Linked DNA regions of Drosophila melanogaster. Changing the gene in region 2 together with the main gene of any one other region gives a genetic interaction. Each region holds a gene or a part of one and is shown on either strand. Other genes may lie near its edges.

Region 1 (5,602 bases), 670 kb from region 2:
TTAAGAGTCGTAAACAGGATTGTATTGCTTTGAAATATCCTTCCCCGTCTCCGTCGTAACAGATATCAGATAGTCAATACAATACTCGCCTCCAGTATTCCGCCTTCTTTGTATTGGGTTTTAAAGCCTTTGATTTTAGGCCTGTTTGTATTTGTATCCAAATGATGTACAGCATCACCTCTACTTTTGAGTGTTATACTGGCCATAAACAAACAACCGCTCAACCCTTTGCGGCCATAATTTAGCGTAATTAAATAGCGCATGAAAAATGAGTAAATTATGGAATGCGAAGCGGTCGTAAATCTGAATCCAAGAGGTCGATGAGTCCGCTGACCAAACTGTTGCTCTGGTCCTTTCTGTCCTTTCGACTGTTGATTTTATTAAAATCATTTCGTTTTTATAGTCGCTGGGTGGCGGAAGGTCCGTACAACAACGGTGTACTTAATTACGACTGCATTATAACGACGTTACAATTATTGTTATTATTTTTTATCCAAGCATCCGGGCCATTGTCCCGACCACATTTATAAAATGCCCATTATTCATGGCCTGGTCAGGAGCTATTAATGTCCGCCGGCCAAATATCGGGGAAGTGAACGCACCATTTCAAAATAAATTAAATTTTTATGCGTGTATGCGAAATGTATTAAATGTTTTGTGCATAAGAAACTCCCCTTAATGAGACGCACAATTAATGTTTTCGAGTCGGGGCTCCATAAACCGATGCCATAAATTCAGCTCTGTGTGTTGGTAATTAGTGGCCAAGGTTAATGGCAGCAGAAAAAATCCCGACGACGAGTTCATCAGGAGCAAAGTGGGAGAAGAGCATTTCAAAGTTGGCTGAATAAAATTTGTAAGCTGATTCCGGGCTAACATTTGGATTAACCAAAAGTTTTAATAGTAATAGTATAGGCGATTGGTGGGCGTGGCAATTTCTGAATCAAATTTGAACTACGTGGGTGCGTCTGAGTGCATAAACTAGCTTTTGTAATTCCCACTAGCTAATGGTCCTGATTGAGAAAAAATACTTTCTATACTGCATGCATACTGTTCAACGAATCTAAAAACTCGCATATCTCTTTAGAATTATTGTGTATCAAGATATTGTGTAATGCGTGTCAGATTTTTTTTTTTTTAGTGTTCTCTGTCTTCTACGCCCGATTCATCATCATCATGGATACGCTATAAATTAGTTTAACAATCTAAAAGTATACGAAAATCCAATGTGGTATTATAAACTAAAAGCCCACTTACTCACCTGCAGAGCCGTTCTCACGGAAAGCGACATAACTCCAAGTATCTGAATATTGTGCGGATACTGGGATTCCCGCAACAAAAAACCAAAAAGCTTTCGCTGTTCGCCACTCAACTCATACCAGGTCACATTACAGATGCTCTCGTACACCTGGTCATACTGTTGAAGACAAATAAGAATGCGTAAGAACTAAGTGCTCATAGACTTAATTTTACTAAAGCTCACTGCAAACTCAAGAATGGTGCCCAGAATGCAATAGATGGACATGCTGTAGGCAGAAACCACGAAAAAGATAGCCGAAGGCATGTGAAAGCTGCTCAAATTAATGCAGAAGCTGAGCATCATGGCCAAAGCCATCGAAAGAACCTGAGTGGCGATCAATTCGTAGTAGAGGGCATTTATGGCGCGACAGTAGCTAAATGTATGGGAGAAATGACATATGATAAGCCGTTCCTTTTTGATTTTATTTATTTTTTAAAAGGAGAAATTAAGTGTTTCTTACTCCGTGAATAATTGATGCCATCTTATAACATCCAAGAGAAGGCGTTGACGATTTTCCGCTCCATCAATAGAAGCTCCAACTCGGACTAGAGCTCTGTATTCCGCTTTTTGTTCCAGGGCATCGTTTAGCTCTTTCACCTTCACCTGCAGCATATCGGCGAAAGTTAGGATCTGCGTTAAGCCGAGAAATACGAACAAATCACCGGAGTAGAATCCGACTCCTTGCACGAGCATTGTCACCTGCAATCGACGAAAATAACTTGGTTAGGAGAGGGAGGAAGTGTTGACAGAATCTCAACAGCTTTAGTGGCTCCTACCGTCTGAATCATGTACGTGACTACGTAGCAATAATTGTTCTCAAGCGGTAGACCCGGAATTAAATACTGCATCGCAGTAACCCGGGTTCCATCGTACATTAGCATGGCCAATGGCAGGAGTTCCATCAAACAAAAAGCGAATACATATCCGTTTCGAATGATCTTCATGATGCCGAGGAGTCGATCTATGTTCGAATTCAAGGTCCTGTGGTAGGAATCTCCCCGAGTCTCGTATTCATCGTAAATGCTTTGTGAGTAAAGGACCAGACGTCTCATGTCTTGATGCTTCAGCAGACAAGTCAGGAACTTCCCGAGTCCGTGGAATAGCCCACCAGTCATAAGACTGGCCTTCAGTCCCACCCTCCAGTCACCGCCATTATTTAGTATAGTAAATACCGTGAAGCCAGTATAGTTGGCGATTGCAAAGATCGTGGTCCAGGTGCGATAATTAAATTTCAATTTGGGCGAAAGAAAATCCACGCCAAGTAAATTAGTCAAACTATTGATGTACTTGGATAGTTCGCGAAAGCGACTTGAAGGACTTTCAGAAGTACTCATTGTGATGGAACTGAATTAATCCTCCAGTTTTTCCCCTTTTATACGAAAACATTTGTTTTCACAGCGGGACTGCAAATGTCACTGCAATTATCATAAGTTGCAAGTAATTTTGTCATTATCTACTTTAATTGTTGTACTATTTGCTTTGTGAAATTACAAGATTTGAGTTGTCCATCTGGGAACATACATATGTACCTATTCTTGATTCAGAGTGAATTAATGTATCTGCTTTCCTTCTATATAAGGTTATACTAGGTTCCTTAAAATGTATGTTCGATGTTCTTCATTCTAATGCGTTAAGGAGCTCAATAACTTAATGCTTTAAAGATATCCTCATGCCTAGGAAATTCACATTGTTTGCATGCTCATAATTACTGCACATTGGGGAATTTTAAAAGTGTTCTGCCGAAGTAAGGAAACCGCAGAATTAACACAATAAAATTCCCTATCCCTTTGTTTCCCCCCGTATTAGTGGGTGGGAAGGTGGCCACCTTTCGCATACAATTAATCCCCTTTTGTTTCGAAAGTCCTCCGATGGCATTCATCATACGCACTGTTGTCTAATACACTTCAGAGTGCGGAACGTTATTATTCAGAGCCCTTTGGATGGCCTGGCGGGTATATATGCACTAGTTCATTGTGTGCTTTTTGTTATTAATTTCCAAGCTATAAATTTTGCTTTGCCACATTTCTAAAGGCTGATCCCAACTAAAACTACCCACTTGTACTTGGGCCTGAGAATGTGTAAGTCGGCAGGGGGAATGGAGAGTGGTTTGGCAACTCACCTTTTCCACGCTCGAACAGATTTCGGTTTTTGTCTGCGGTATTTTGTTATTCTGGCCGATCCAGCAGCTCCACCTTCCATCTGCTGCATCTTTTGTTTATGCCTCACAATGGCCTGCCGCAGGTTTTTACTGCCTTCCATTGTGTTTCTGCCTGTGTGTGTGTTTGATTTCTGAACCCCTTACAGGGGTATGCTGAGTTTTGGCATACACATAAACTTGAAAAGATATAGAACACAAATATGAACTTATAAGCTCGAAAAGGTAAGCGGTTTCGCATCAACAGAAACGCACTTAGGTATGCAACATATGTTTAAAATATAAAATTAATAACTTGGTATCCCATAGTCGCAATACTCGACTTTGTACTTCTTACGTTTCCTCCTATGTTTTTTGTTTTCCTTGGCTGCCTGCCTATAAAATGCAATGGAATTTCATATTGTGCGAGTATATATCGGCATCAACATAATGCTCTCGGATAATATTCCCTGGCATTTTTGCGCTGCGGCACGTAAAAAATGCAGGCTATACATACTCAAACCCATGCCTGGGCGTTTGATGTTTAATCAATTGAAAATGCGAGTGTGTGCCATTGATGGTCGACGTCGTGCCCGCCCCCCGATTTCCCGAAAACTTGGCGCCTCAACTTGTCTGCCTGACGGCCTGCATTATGCCCCTGGCGCGGTGGCATGGCGTGGCATCATGGTGGTGTGACCTAAGCCAGGGTCGGATTTCTAGCCTGACTTCCGCATCGACCCGACGGCTGTTTGCGGAGCTCAAACTGCAAACTGCTAACTGCAGGTGGCTCTTAAGACGCGCTCTCTGGAAAAACATTAGCAAGATTGCAAGGTGCGTGTGCGGTGCCACACACACACCCACACCTACTTGCTTCCACATCCACTTCCTTATTGAAAGGGAATTGAACGCTCGACTTGCAGGACGGCTTCCTTTCGCAGGATTCGCCTTTGCTGCTTGCCGCCTGAATGGCACAAAGAGGAATAAAAATTACAATATCGCCGTTGCCGCCGACGATGCAATGGAAATGGAAGGCAAACAACAGGCCCAACTACAGCCACTACTGCACGGAAGAAATGGATGGGAATCGGGGTACGTTATTTAGAGGGAATAAATATTTTCCTAAGAAGTTGTTTATTTTGTTTAAGAGCAATTAAAATCTATAATTTCACACAAGTTTATGTTAATTGATACGTATGATTAAATATGTTTAAAAATTACTTTTCAATGGTCCCCGTCGTAAGTCCTAGTTTTTCGCGCAGTGCAAAACACAAAAAGGAAAGTGCAGAGCCTTAAGCTGCCTATAGAGGCATTCATGCGTTTGTGTGAGAGCGTGCGTGTGTGTGTGTGTGCGTGGGAGAGTGTTTCTTGTATTGAAACTTCCTTTAATGGCTTCCGGTTATCATTATTGGCACAAGGCATTGTCCGACCCTCTCCTGCGGCTGCGTGTCTATAAAGATTAAACGCATTGTTCTTTGTTGATTCTTTCCATCATGCAAAGAAATTAATATTCGCAATCCATTATCATTCCTAATAGCCCGCATACGAGCGTACACCCACAAAGCGGCATATTTAATAACCCTAATGGGCGGCTTAAAGCCTTAAAGCGAGTGGCCTTTGCCCAGTGTCCCACTGCCTCTCGATGATACATAATCAATCAGTCGAACGCTTTAAGCTGCCGACTAATATGCAGCACGACGACCCAGTCGGGGCAATATCTTTAAGTGTCCTTGCTACTGGTGCCCAGATACACACATTGATAGATGGGCGGACCCCGGTACGTCAGCGTCATTCTCTTCGGCTAATGATGACAAATTTTTTATGGGCATTATGAGCGGCAGTGACTTAAAGCGTGTGGGAATGCTCGAGAAAGGCACCGGAAACGAAATATGTTCTCAAAAGTCTCATTTGGAATTTACAAATAATTGGAGTGATTTGCGGACTGAGGTGTTGTAGTTTTTTAACTAAGTAACATCCTGTATTTATTTAAACAATTATTATTATCCGAGCATTGAACAATGAACAAAATGGAGTTTTCTCGCTGTGTGAGCCTACAATTGTGGGGGAGTTGTCTGTTGCCTGTTCCGCTTTTTGCTCCGTCCCGTTGGCCAACCCTTGGTCAGCCTGGGCTCTTTATTAATTTGACAGCATCAACAGGAGCTGGCTGACTTGGC
Region 2 (9,165 bases):
ACCTCCGCGGCCCCAAAGATACAAAACAAGCGCGAAAGAAAGAAAACTAATTAAACCATAGACTTATAAATTAAGTAGTTTCAGTAGCCGCTCTTGTTGTTGTTGTTGTTGTTGTTGCGTTCCCCCCCTAGCCAAAGTCAAGAAACTTTCATTGGCAGACGAAAGTGTGCGCAATAAAGAAATTAACAGTAAGCAGCGGTTGCATGGAGAGGGGTATCCAGCAGATACAGATACTTCGCCCCACCTCGTCTTGCCCCATCTGGCGCACACTCTTGGCGCAATTTTAGTTGTAGTCACTTTTCGTTCGTTGGTTCGTTTTTGTTTTATGAAAGCTGCAAGAAATAAAAACTCCGCCAAATGTACGGAGCGTGGCCGCATTAAAAGTTCGCGCCGTGGAGCGTTTTCTTGTTGTTGCTTCAGTTTTAACCCGCCGCGGAGTCAGACGGCCCAGTTGGGCAATTTTGAAAACCATAAAGTGCGCTTTCAAAACGGCAAAAATATAGGAGAGCTATGTAAGTGGAGCTAAGCGTGTGGAGATCCACAACCACGCTCGACAGTATGATTCCGAATTACACTTTTGCCACTTTTAATTGTTGCCACTGCAACTGCTGACGATGGCTGGCCGTTTCTAATCGTACTCATACTGCTTCTGCTGTTGCGCCAACAGTTGCCAAAAATGTGGCCAAAACGACTACGGCCCAAAGATTATGATTATAATCCGCATTTATTCCTAAATTTAGTTCGTTTTGCACATACGTTTGCCGTGAAAATTGCGGCATGCAAGCCAGTGATGCGATAAACACGGCGTCTAGCCCATTAAATTCCACGCTTATCATGTGAACAGCACCGATAATTATTGAATTAAAACTAATTGATGGACTACAAGCCGCTCCTGACCCAACTTGAATCTAAACTAGCAATTTAACAATGGAGCTCAGAAAAAAAAGTTCATAACACACATTAAAGTAATTGAGAAACAGTTCTCTATTTGAGTTTGCTAAACCAAAATATATTATAGTTGACAATATTCTAGATTTTATATTGTATATGCAGAATATATATATATATTAATACTTAAGATGCAAATAAATTCGAATGAATTCGAAATTTAAAATGAAATAAACTCCGCCTGTTTCTATTCTATTAACCCCCCATTAAACCTTCGAGTTTCACTACACATTTATTTAGTTTGCATCTTGGGTTTACATTAAAAGCTCTACGCGTGTACAAAATCGATAAGTATTTGCAGGCTTCTATGTGCCCCAGAATGTCTCCATTATGCCCCACGAGGCTCGCTCGTCGCAGGTATAAAATATATAATTTGCGTTATAATTGCTCTGTGATATTGCTGGTTGCACAGTGCGGAGGGGGCAAGGGGCGGTAGGTGGCTTCTTGGCATTCGCTTTTCTGGTACAAAAATCCATCAGCTTCGCAGCAACTTACTTGAGCTGCACCAGCACCATAAAGTAGGTGACGACGGCACCCAGAACCTGCGAATCGGGAATATCCGATTCAGTTTTAACTCCATCAATAGATCAATAAATCAAATGCAACAAACCGAAGCAAACAAATCCAGGGAGACGGTGAAGAATTTCGCTCCCGATATGCTCATCGCCTTCTGGCACTGCTGGCACACGATCTGGACGAAGGTCTTGGCCTCCTCGGAGCCATCGTACCAGTGGCACGAGTAGGCGGCCTCCATGACGGATGAACTCTGCGAAATGAAAGTCGTATTAAGGATGCTCTAGATAACTAACTACACAAACTATAACTATAACAACGTTTAGAACTATGTATGTTTCCCAATCTATAAACTTGAAAACATTGGTTCAATTTTATCTCATACGCAAAAACACCCTTTTATTTCTACCACATGGAAAAAACACACTGGTTAGCTTGTAGTGAACGGACCAATCTGTTGACTCTCAACTTACAATTCATTTAGTTTTAATGAAGTCTCAAAATTTTTTATAAATATCCCTATAACTCAAATAAGGATGTTCTCGATTATTAATCAGTTGAGACTGATGTCTGATTTACTTATAAATTTATCTTGCAACCCTGCACAAACTCACCTCTTCAATCAGACGATTGCCAAAGATGCAAAAGTGGAACACCTGGGCCAGCGCGTATCCTAGGTATCCGACGACTGTGAAGGCGTAGACATTCACTCCGTTGATTTTGGTGGCCTGGTATGCCAGCAGGGTCAGCTTGATGGTCGAGGTCAGCATGTGGAGGAGGAGGGCGGCTCCGTAAGTATCGCCGATGGCAGCCACCAGTCTGTGGGGAAAAGGCAACGGGGGAAAGGATGAGGGATTGCAGGCAGGAATCAAGTCAATATTGGTATCAACAACTGCACACGCCAACTGTCGGACAGGACAAACAAGGACATTCCTCTAGGGCCCCCAACAATGATTGCAATTGAGGAAGTAATCAAGTAAGTCAAACAAGCTGCAGGGATCTGTTGAGCTCCTAATAAATGAGAACACATGTTCCGATGGCGCCTATTGAAGTTTTACAAAACTGAGGGGAAAGTGTGTGTGTTTATTATGTTCGGTGCTCTGTTAAAGGCAAAAATCCAAGTCCATGAAATATGAGTGGACTGCTCTGCCATTTAAATCGCCAAAAATCCAATCATCACTGGCCAAAGCCCCCTTGAAATGGCTGGTCCAATTTGGCCAGGATTTGAACTCACCGCACCACGTGCTTGTGCCGCTCGACCCAGTACTTGATGGCACTGCGCACCATCATCTCCTGCTTTTTGGTCAGCCCGTTGGGATTAGCGCCGTTCACCAACCCGTTGCCTCCGCCCCCGTTCCCGCCAAAGGACTGCAGTGTCGAGGGTGCTCGAAACTGAGCGCCCCAATCCGCTTTCGAGCTGTAGATGCCCGACATGTCCATGTCGGTGCCGGGATCCTTTTCTGCAATGGAAAAACAGCTCGTCATGGCATTTTCCTATTCAGTGAAGTGCTCACTGAATAACCGCCTAAAAGTTTAGGTTCAGACTCAACAAATCACCTTCATTATGAATTAGCTCCGACTTGGAGTTGGCCGACAGGGACCTGAAGAGGGCCGCCGAGTTGGGCCTGTAGGTGTCCAGCGAGGCGGACAGCTCCATCAGCGGCTTCATGATGCCCTTCAAGTGCTGCAGCTGCTCGCAGGCGAATATCAGCCAAGAGCAGAACATCACGTCGCATAGATTGGAGTGGATCATCGAGAAGAGCACGTAGTAGATCTGAAAGGCAAAGCTGATCATGTAGAACATGCCGTGGCTGGCGTTCCACGGGTAGAAGGACTTAATCGGCAGCCGGGGTATCTCCACCGGGATGCTGGAGTTCGTCTCATGGTCCACCACCATTTTTACGCTGTCGCCAAAGAAGGTGATCGTGGTCCAGGCGGTGGCCGAGGCGACTGTGGTCAGCATCACCAGAAAGAACAGCTTCCTCATCTTCGCCAGTGCGATCGAATGGTAACGAGCATCCGACTCGGCGAACAAGGGATGCGTGTTCACCTGGTTCCATATATTCAATGTTCTGCCGGAAAAACATAAAATTTTAAATTCCCCAAGTGTTCGTAAGCTCGGTGCGGTGAGCAGAGGCTCACCTGTAGAAATTCTTCTGGTTAACAGCCAGGTAGATAAACTTCGTGATGCAGTGGGTGAAGAAGAGGGTCGTGATCGTGTTGCCCGACAGCTCGTTGACCTCCTCGGCGTTCAGGGCCATGTTGACCAGGATGAAGGTGAACTGCATGAGGAGGAACACCAGGTGCACGGAGGAGTACACCTTCTTCATGAAGGCACTGCCGCCCGTGAAGTTGTGCATGAACAGGCCGGAGTACTTCATCGCCCGGATGTTGGGCATCAGGTCGGCGACCAGGCCCGTGTACTTGCTCGGCTGCATCGAGGTTGTCATCCTGTTGAGCGGCGGAAATTGCACGACAAAATTAATAGGTTTCGCCAACACAATCAGCTATTATGAACGTAATCTGTTCAATATTCCGTATTTGTGATTAGTCCTTGGTTTGCTTGCCGAGTAGAAAAGGAATTTTCCTGCCCGAAATGAATCGATTTGGAATGTTTTATTCATAGCGGGATAATGTATAATGCATATTGAATATTCAGGTGGACTCATGTCCTCTCAAATTAATATTAATTTGGCTATCGATCGTGAGTTATTAAATTCGGAATGTGGAACAATTGTGTACGATATATGGTTCTCTAATTGGTAATATTGTAATATTGAAAGACCCAGTGCTATTACCTTGCTATTGAACTTTAAAAATACAAATGTAATTGTTGTCTGGTACACTTGGGTTAATTGAGTGCCAGTAATGCAGCAATCATCTAGGCAATCATTTCACTCTTTAAGGCTTAACCGGGATACTTTAAGATACGAGATATGAGGCTTTCCGGAACCAGGACACAGTTGACCTGCCAGCACCGCGATGTCGACGGTAATGAAATGTGAAATCCGGAAGGTTAAAAAGCTCTGTCGACAAGTGCCTGCTCCTTCTGTCGGCTAGGTACTTGCTCCGCTGTACATAAGGACGTGTACTTTGAGGACGAGTTCCCACGGCTGCAACAAGGCCACATTAAATCCTAGCCCGCGACTTTCACTCCGACCCACACATGGTAATGAAAATATACAATATGGGTATCGGGCCGCCTTGGAGCGCTTAAAAATTCAGCTCTTCAGCCACGTCCATCGATGTGATGGGTGCGTGGCAGACGCAGAATTCCCACAATTAAATCGAACGCCCACGAACTTGTCCACCACTGCTGTCGTCTCCGGGTCTAGGACTCCGCTTTTGGGCCATGGGCCATGGCCCAGTCCTGTGCCCTCCACGCGGCGTATGCGCACTGGCGGAATGGCACTGGGACTGGAGATGGGCTCATCCTTGCGCGGCATCTGCGGTATCCAAACTTATGCAAATTTTAAAAGCATCGATTATTTTATTATGCCTGCTTGTATTTGTTGGCCTGCCCCAAGTGCCGCTGAGATATGGGGATAGGCCATTCCTCAGCCAACCCATTTGGTGGGGATCCCTCCGTGAATCGCTGACCCAAAAAAATAACACATTGCCTATTTGCATGAAAATGTGTGTGTTCAGCCTGATGGATATTTGGTCCTTGCTCAATTTTTTTCGTTCTCAGTTCTCATAGGCACTGAATTTCGGTAGGCGGGGGCCTTCAAAAGAAGTCTTAAATTGGGTTGCCATTATATATTATGAATACTTACAATTCTTTGCAATTATAATACAGTAGAATTTAAATAATTAATACTCTATCTCAAGGTCGTACAAGTGGCCTTCGAAATCAGTTAGGTAATATACATGTAGGCAATTAATAAAACAATTGTCTAATTCAAAATCTAGTACTCAAATTGCAACGCAAACGAAATTGCTGAGCAGTGTATTGAATGCTAATCGAAAACATCCAATTTAGTTATTCGAAACTAGTTGTGACAATATTAAAACGTGGCAAGAACAAAAAGCGGCGACTATTGTGAATAACTGAATCACACTTAAAACTATGTGCCGGAATGTAAATGTATCTGTGTCTGTAGCTATATCTGCAGCTAGTTTCCACCACTCATATACACATATGCATACATATATGAATGGGAACTCAGACACAGATGTCCCAAATCATGGATTATTTAAATGCAGGACACTCACGAACATCAATTAATACGTGAACACTTGCCTGTGTGGATTGCGGGGATGCGAGCGGGGATTTAACAATATTGATTTAACGTTTAATCGTCCTGAACTCAGCCATGCGAAACAAGCCCCCCCCCCCTAAATGTTGCCCCTTTCGGTCCTTCGCTTTTTGATTTATTTTATGGGCTTGTGGCTGAAAGTTTAATTACGCGGATGCGTTTGGATCAATTAGCTAACCGCGGACATCGTGAGCCCTGCAGCCTTTTGTCATTAATTATTAGGCAACATTTAAATGGAAAGTGACACTTGCTTTATTTAATTTACAACTTAAACAAATGAGCCTTTATTTTTACCATTACGCTTTTGTGTTCGTGACTGTGATCGATTCTGATGCCAAATTAAATGATTAAAACGCACTAATGGGTTAATAAAGTCACATTAACTAGAAATTATATATTTATATAATTATTATTAAGCGCTTTCCATATGAAATGATATACCCGAAGTATAGGCAACATTATTTTGATTCACACCTTTATGGCCGCATTTCAGCCAAAACCAAATGATTTCCATTAGGTCGTCCACAGGATCTCTACATAAAATACCGCAAGTTGTAAAACAATAAAAACTCAAAAATAAGCATATAAAGTTATTCAAGCAATCCATCAAATCGCCCATAAATTGCGAAATCAATGCGACACACACACACACACACACGCACACATTATAAAAACCTCTTTGGGGCGCAAAGCCGACGAAGGAAAAATTAGAAATCAATACCCAGCAAGGACAGAAAAATCTGTTAAGTGACAAACAAAAACGGCGAGAACACCAATTGCGTGTGAGTGCGTGAGTCCGTGTGTGCGAGGTCCTCTCTCTCCCATCCTGCTGCTTGGCTGTGTGCGTAAGTGCCAGCATCAGGAGCAATTCCTTTATTTTCGGACCGCCGTGGCCCTCGACCTACAGAAGGCTTTTACCAGAATTTATGGCTATGCATAACCGACTTGGAAAAACAACAGACGATCGAAAATACATATAAATAAGTGCGTGGGGTGTGTGCCACATTCGGTTTCATAGTGTGCGAGTGGTCTATATGTGTGTGTGTGTGTGCGTGTGCTTTCTTCAGGCCATTAGGGGAGCAAAAGAAATGTTGACATTGTCATAAGAATGGAAAAGAATGGCAGAGAAATGCGGGAAATGCGAACAACAGCGAAAAGCGCAAGAATTATTATTATTTATTCCCGGGTTTTATAAGATTTCGGTAGAGGTGCTGGGCGCTCATAAATCCAATCCTTATACATCGCACAGTAGTACACATGGAGAAATTGCTGGTGTACAATTTCAGAAAGATTTTTCAGCCAGAAAGTTTATATATCGCCAGTTTAGTTTAAAACAATATAACTGAATATGAAATTGTAATTGACAGAATAGGAAATGTCTTAATTTGTTTTCGGCGGTATATATATATTTAACGAATGCATTAGTATTTAGTTAATCATAAAAAATGTATGCTCATATTTTATGACTTTTGTTTTAAATTGTCAATATTTCTCAGCAGAAATAATTAGTATTTCACTGAGCTATGACCGAAGCAATTTCTCTCAGTGCACTTGTCTGCGTGCCAGTGTCACTTCTTCTGTTGCCGCTGACAGGGCGACAGATTCCAACCGGAAGTCGAGGGAGTCGGAAGGAAGTGCCTTCGTGGCTGCTCGCCGAGACAGTGTCAAAAGTTTAACTTTAGATTTATTTGCCATTTAATGCCGCTGCTCCCTTTCCCAGAACTGCAGCACGGCCAGGAGTTATAGGGGAGTTGTAAATCTCTCAGCTGTCTAAGCAGGTCAATGCATTTGGCTTTCACAATGGAATTGCAACAGGATCCCCGCCCCCACAGCTGTCCGCATAAAGGACATTCAGGACTAGTGTGAGGTTTGTTTGTTTGCCGCCTGCCACAAAGTTGTCAACGCGGCAACTAAACGAGTTTTGGTCTTGTGGTGTTCTATATTAGTCTGTAGGGTGTTCGTTTCGTTGGAGTGCTTTCTTTGTTATCCTTCTGCCCGAAATTCGAAGTTGTTCTCCCACGCGAGAGCATGCGCAGGGAGAGTTAAATCTGAGATGGCTCAGCTCCACGAGTTTAAAATTATAAGAGACGCTGTGGCAAGACGTTGCCACTCTTTCGGCAATTATGTAAAAGCATGAGGTGCATTAAATATGCCTATATAACGTGTGGAAGATTAAAATACAAATATTATTTGAATATCGATATAAGTTGGCTCAGTAGTAGTATTAATAGAATCTATAATAATCATGTGATTAGAATTTGCATGCTTAATTTTAAGTGTCTTGCCTAATTTTTATTTTCATACGGATAAAAATGTGCAAATCGATAGTGATAGCTATTAAAATAATAATAATTCTAAGCTTAATTTTATATTGTTGCACTTCTGCTTAGATACCATTTTGGGTTCTCTCTTATATATATATGTATATAATATTTAATTTTTAAGGACGTGTTCCATTTTATATTTAAAGGCATAGCAATCTGAACCATCTGGCAGCTTCAGCAACTCACGTGCATTATCTGTGGCTCGTTGAGCCTGTGAAATGCAACAAGAGAAGTGACTCGCCATCTGAGAGCTCTCTCTCTCTCTCTCGCTCTCGAAGGACTCGTTCCTTGCTCTTTGCAGAGATTCGTATAAGAAAATCTCTCCTCAGCAGAGGAGAGCAGGGCAGAGGAGAGCAGCACAGCAGAAACCACAGACACTGTTACGGGATCCGCATTTTGGCCAGGACGAAGCGAGCGTGGCGACGAACGACAGCCAATGGCTTCTATTGGGAGCCAGTCAAACATGGTCCATCGACGGGAGATGAACAGCACCGAGAGCAGCATCCGCCAGCAGATTCGCAAGCCAGTTCGCTGCCAGAAGCCAAAACCCAAGGCAAAGCCAGCCGAACCGGGCCAATTCTAGGGGAACGCGTGTGTGTGAAGGTAGTGAAGTGAAACAAACGTGGACGCGAGTGTGTGTGCCAGTGCCAGTGTGTTGTCCAAGGACCTCATCGCCCTCCGCCCACTTGAAGTCAGACAACGACAAAGGTCCACTCGTTCGGTTCTAGTTCTTTTGCTGCTGACTTCTTAGTGTTAGAGGCACGCAGCATCTCGTGCGCCAAACGAATTACCACTGCTGCAGACACACAACTGCCCCACATACACACTCGAACAGAAAGGATATGATGTCTGGGGCGAGCGAGAAAACATGAAAAGACACAGTTTGAGTAGTTGGGAATGAGGAGCAGCCAGGACATAGGCAAAACACCAAACACAAGCATTTCGTGGGCCTCTGCCCACGCCACTTGCGAGTGTGTGTGTGTGTGTGTGTTCTCGGATTTATGCAGCACTAGTTACATAAGCCATCATCCTCATCATCGGCAGCAGCATCTGAAGACGGCCAAAGCTTCGGCATCGTTAGCGCCAGCCAGCTGCCATCAGAATGCTATGAATGACGAATC

What was found. A genetic interaction does not mean that the proteins touch.
Region 1: of Orco (region 2) and Or83c, changing one suppresses a phenotype caused by changing the other (phenotypic suppression), as found in Drosophila melanogaster (one study listed by BioGRID).

Annotation. Positions count from the first base shown.
Region 1 is NT_033777.3:6,075,653-6,081,254, forward strand, and holds Or83c (odorant receptor 83c), read right to left. Parts: upstream 2,632-5,602; coding exon 2,074-2,631; intron 1,997-2,073; coding exon 1,758-1,996; intron 1,671-1,757; coding exon 1,481-1,670; intron 1,415-1,480; coding exon 1,259-1,414; intron 1,203-1,258; coding exon 1,152-1,202; downstream 1-1,151. UniProt on the Drosophila melanogaster protein: Odorant receptor which mediates acceptance or avoidance behavior, depending on its substrates. The odorant receptor repertoire encodes a large collection of odor stimuli that vary widely in identity, intensity, and duration.
Region 2 is NT_033777.3:5,406,013-5,415,177, forward strand, and holds Orco (odorant receptor co-receptor), read right to left. Parts: upstream 6,395-9,165; 5' UTR 6,383-6,394; intron 4,458-6,382; exon of another isoform or gene 4,260-4,457; intron 3,913-4,259; 5' UTR 3,912-3,912; coding exon 3,604-3,911; intron 3,534-3,603; coding exon 3,019-3,533; intron 2,922-3,018; coding exon 2,696-2,921; intron 2,281-2,695; coding exon 2,076-2,280; intron 1,715-2,075; coding exon 1,559-1,714; intron 1,491-1,558; coding exon 1,440-1,490; 3' UTR 1,171-1,439; downstream 1-1,170. UniProt on the Drosophila melanogaster protein: Odorant coreceptor which complexes with conventional odorant receptors (ORs) to form odorant-sensing units, providing sensitive and prolonged odorant signaling and calcium permeability.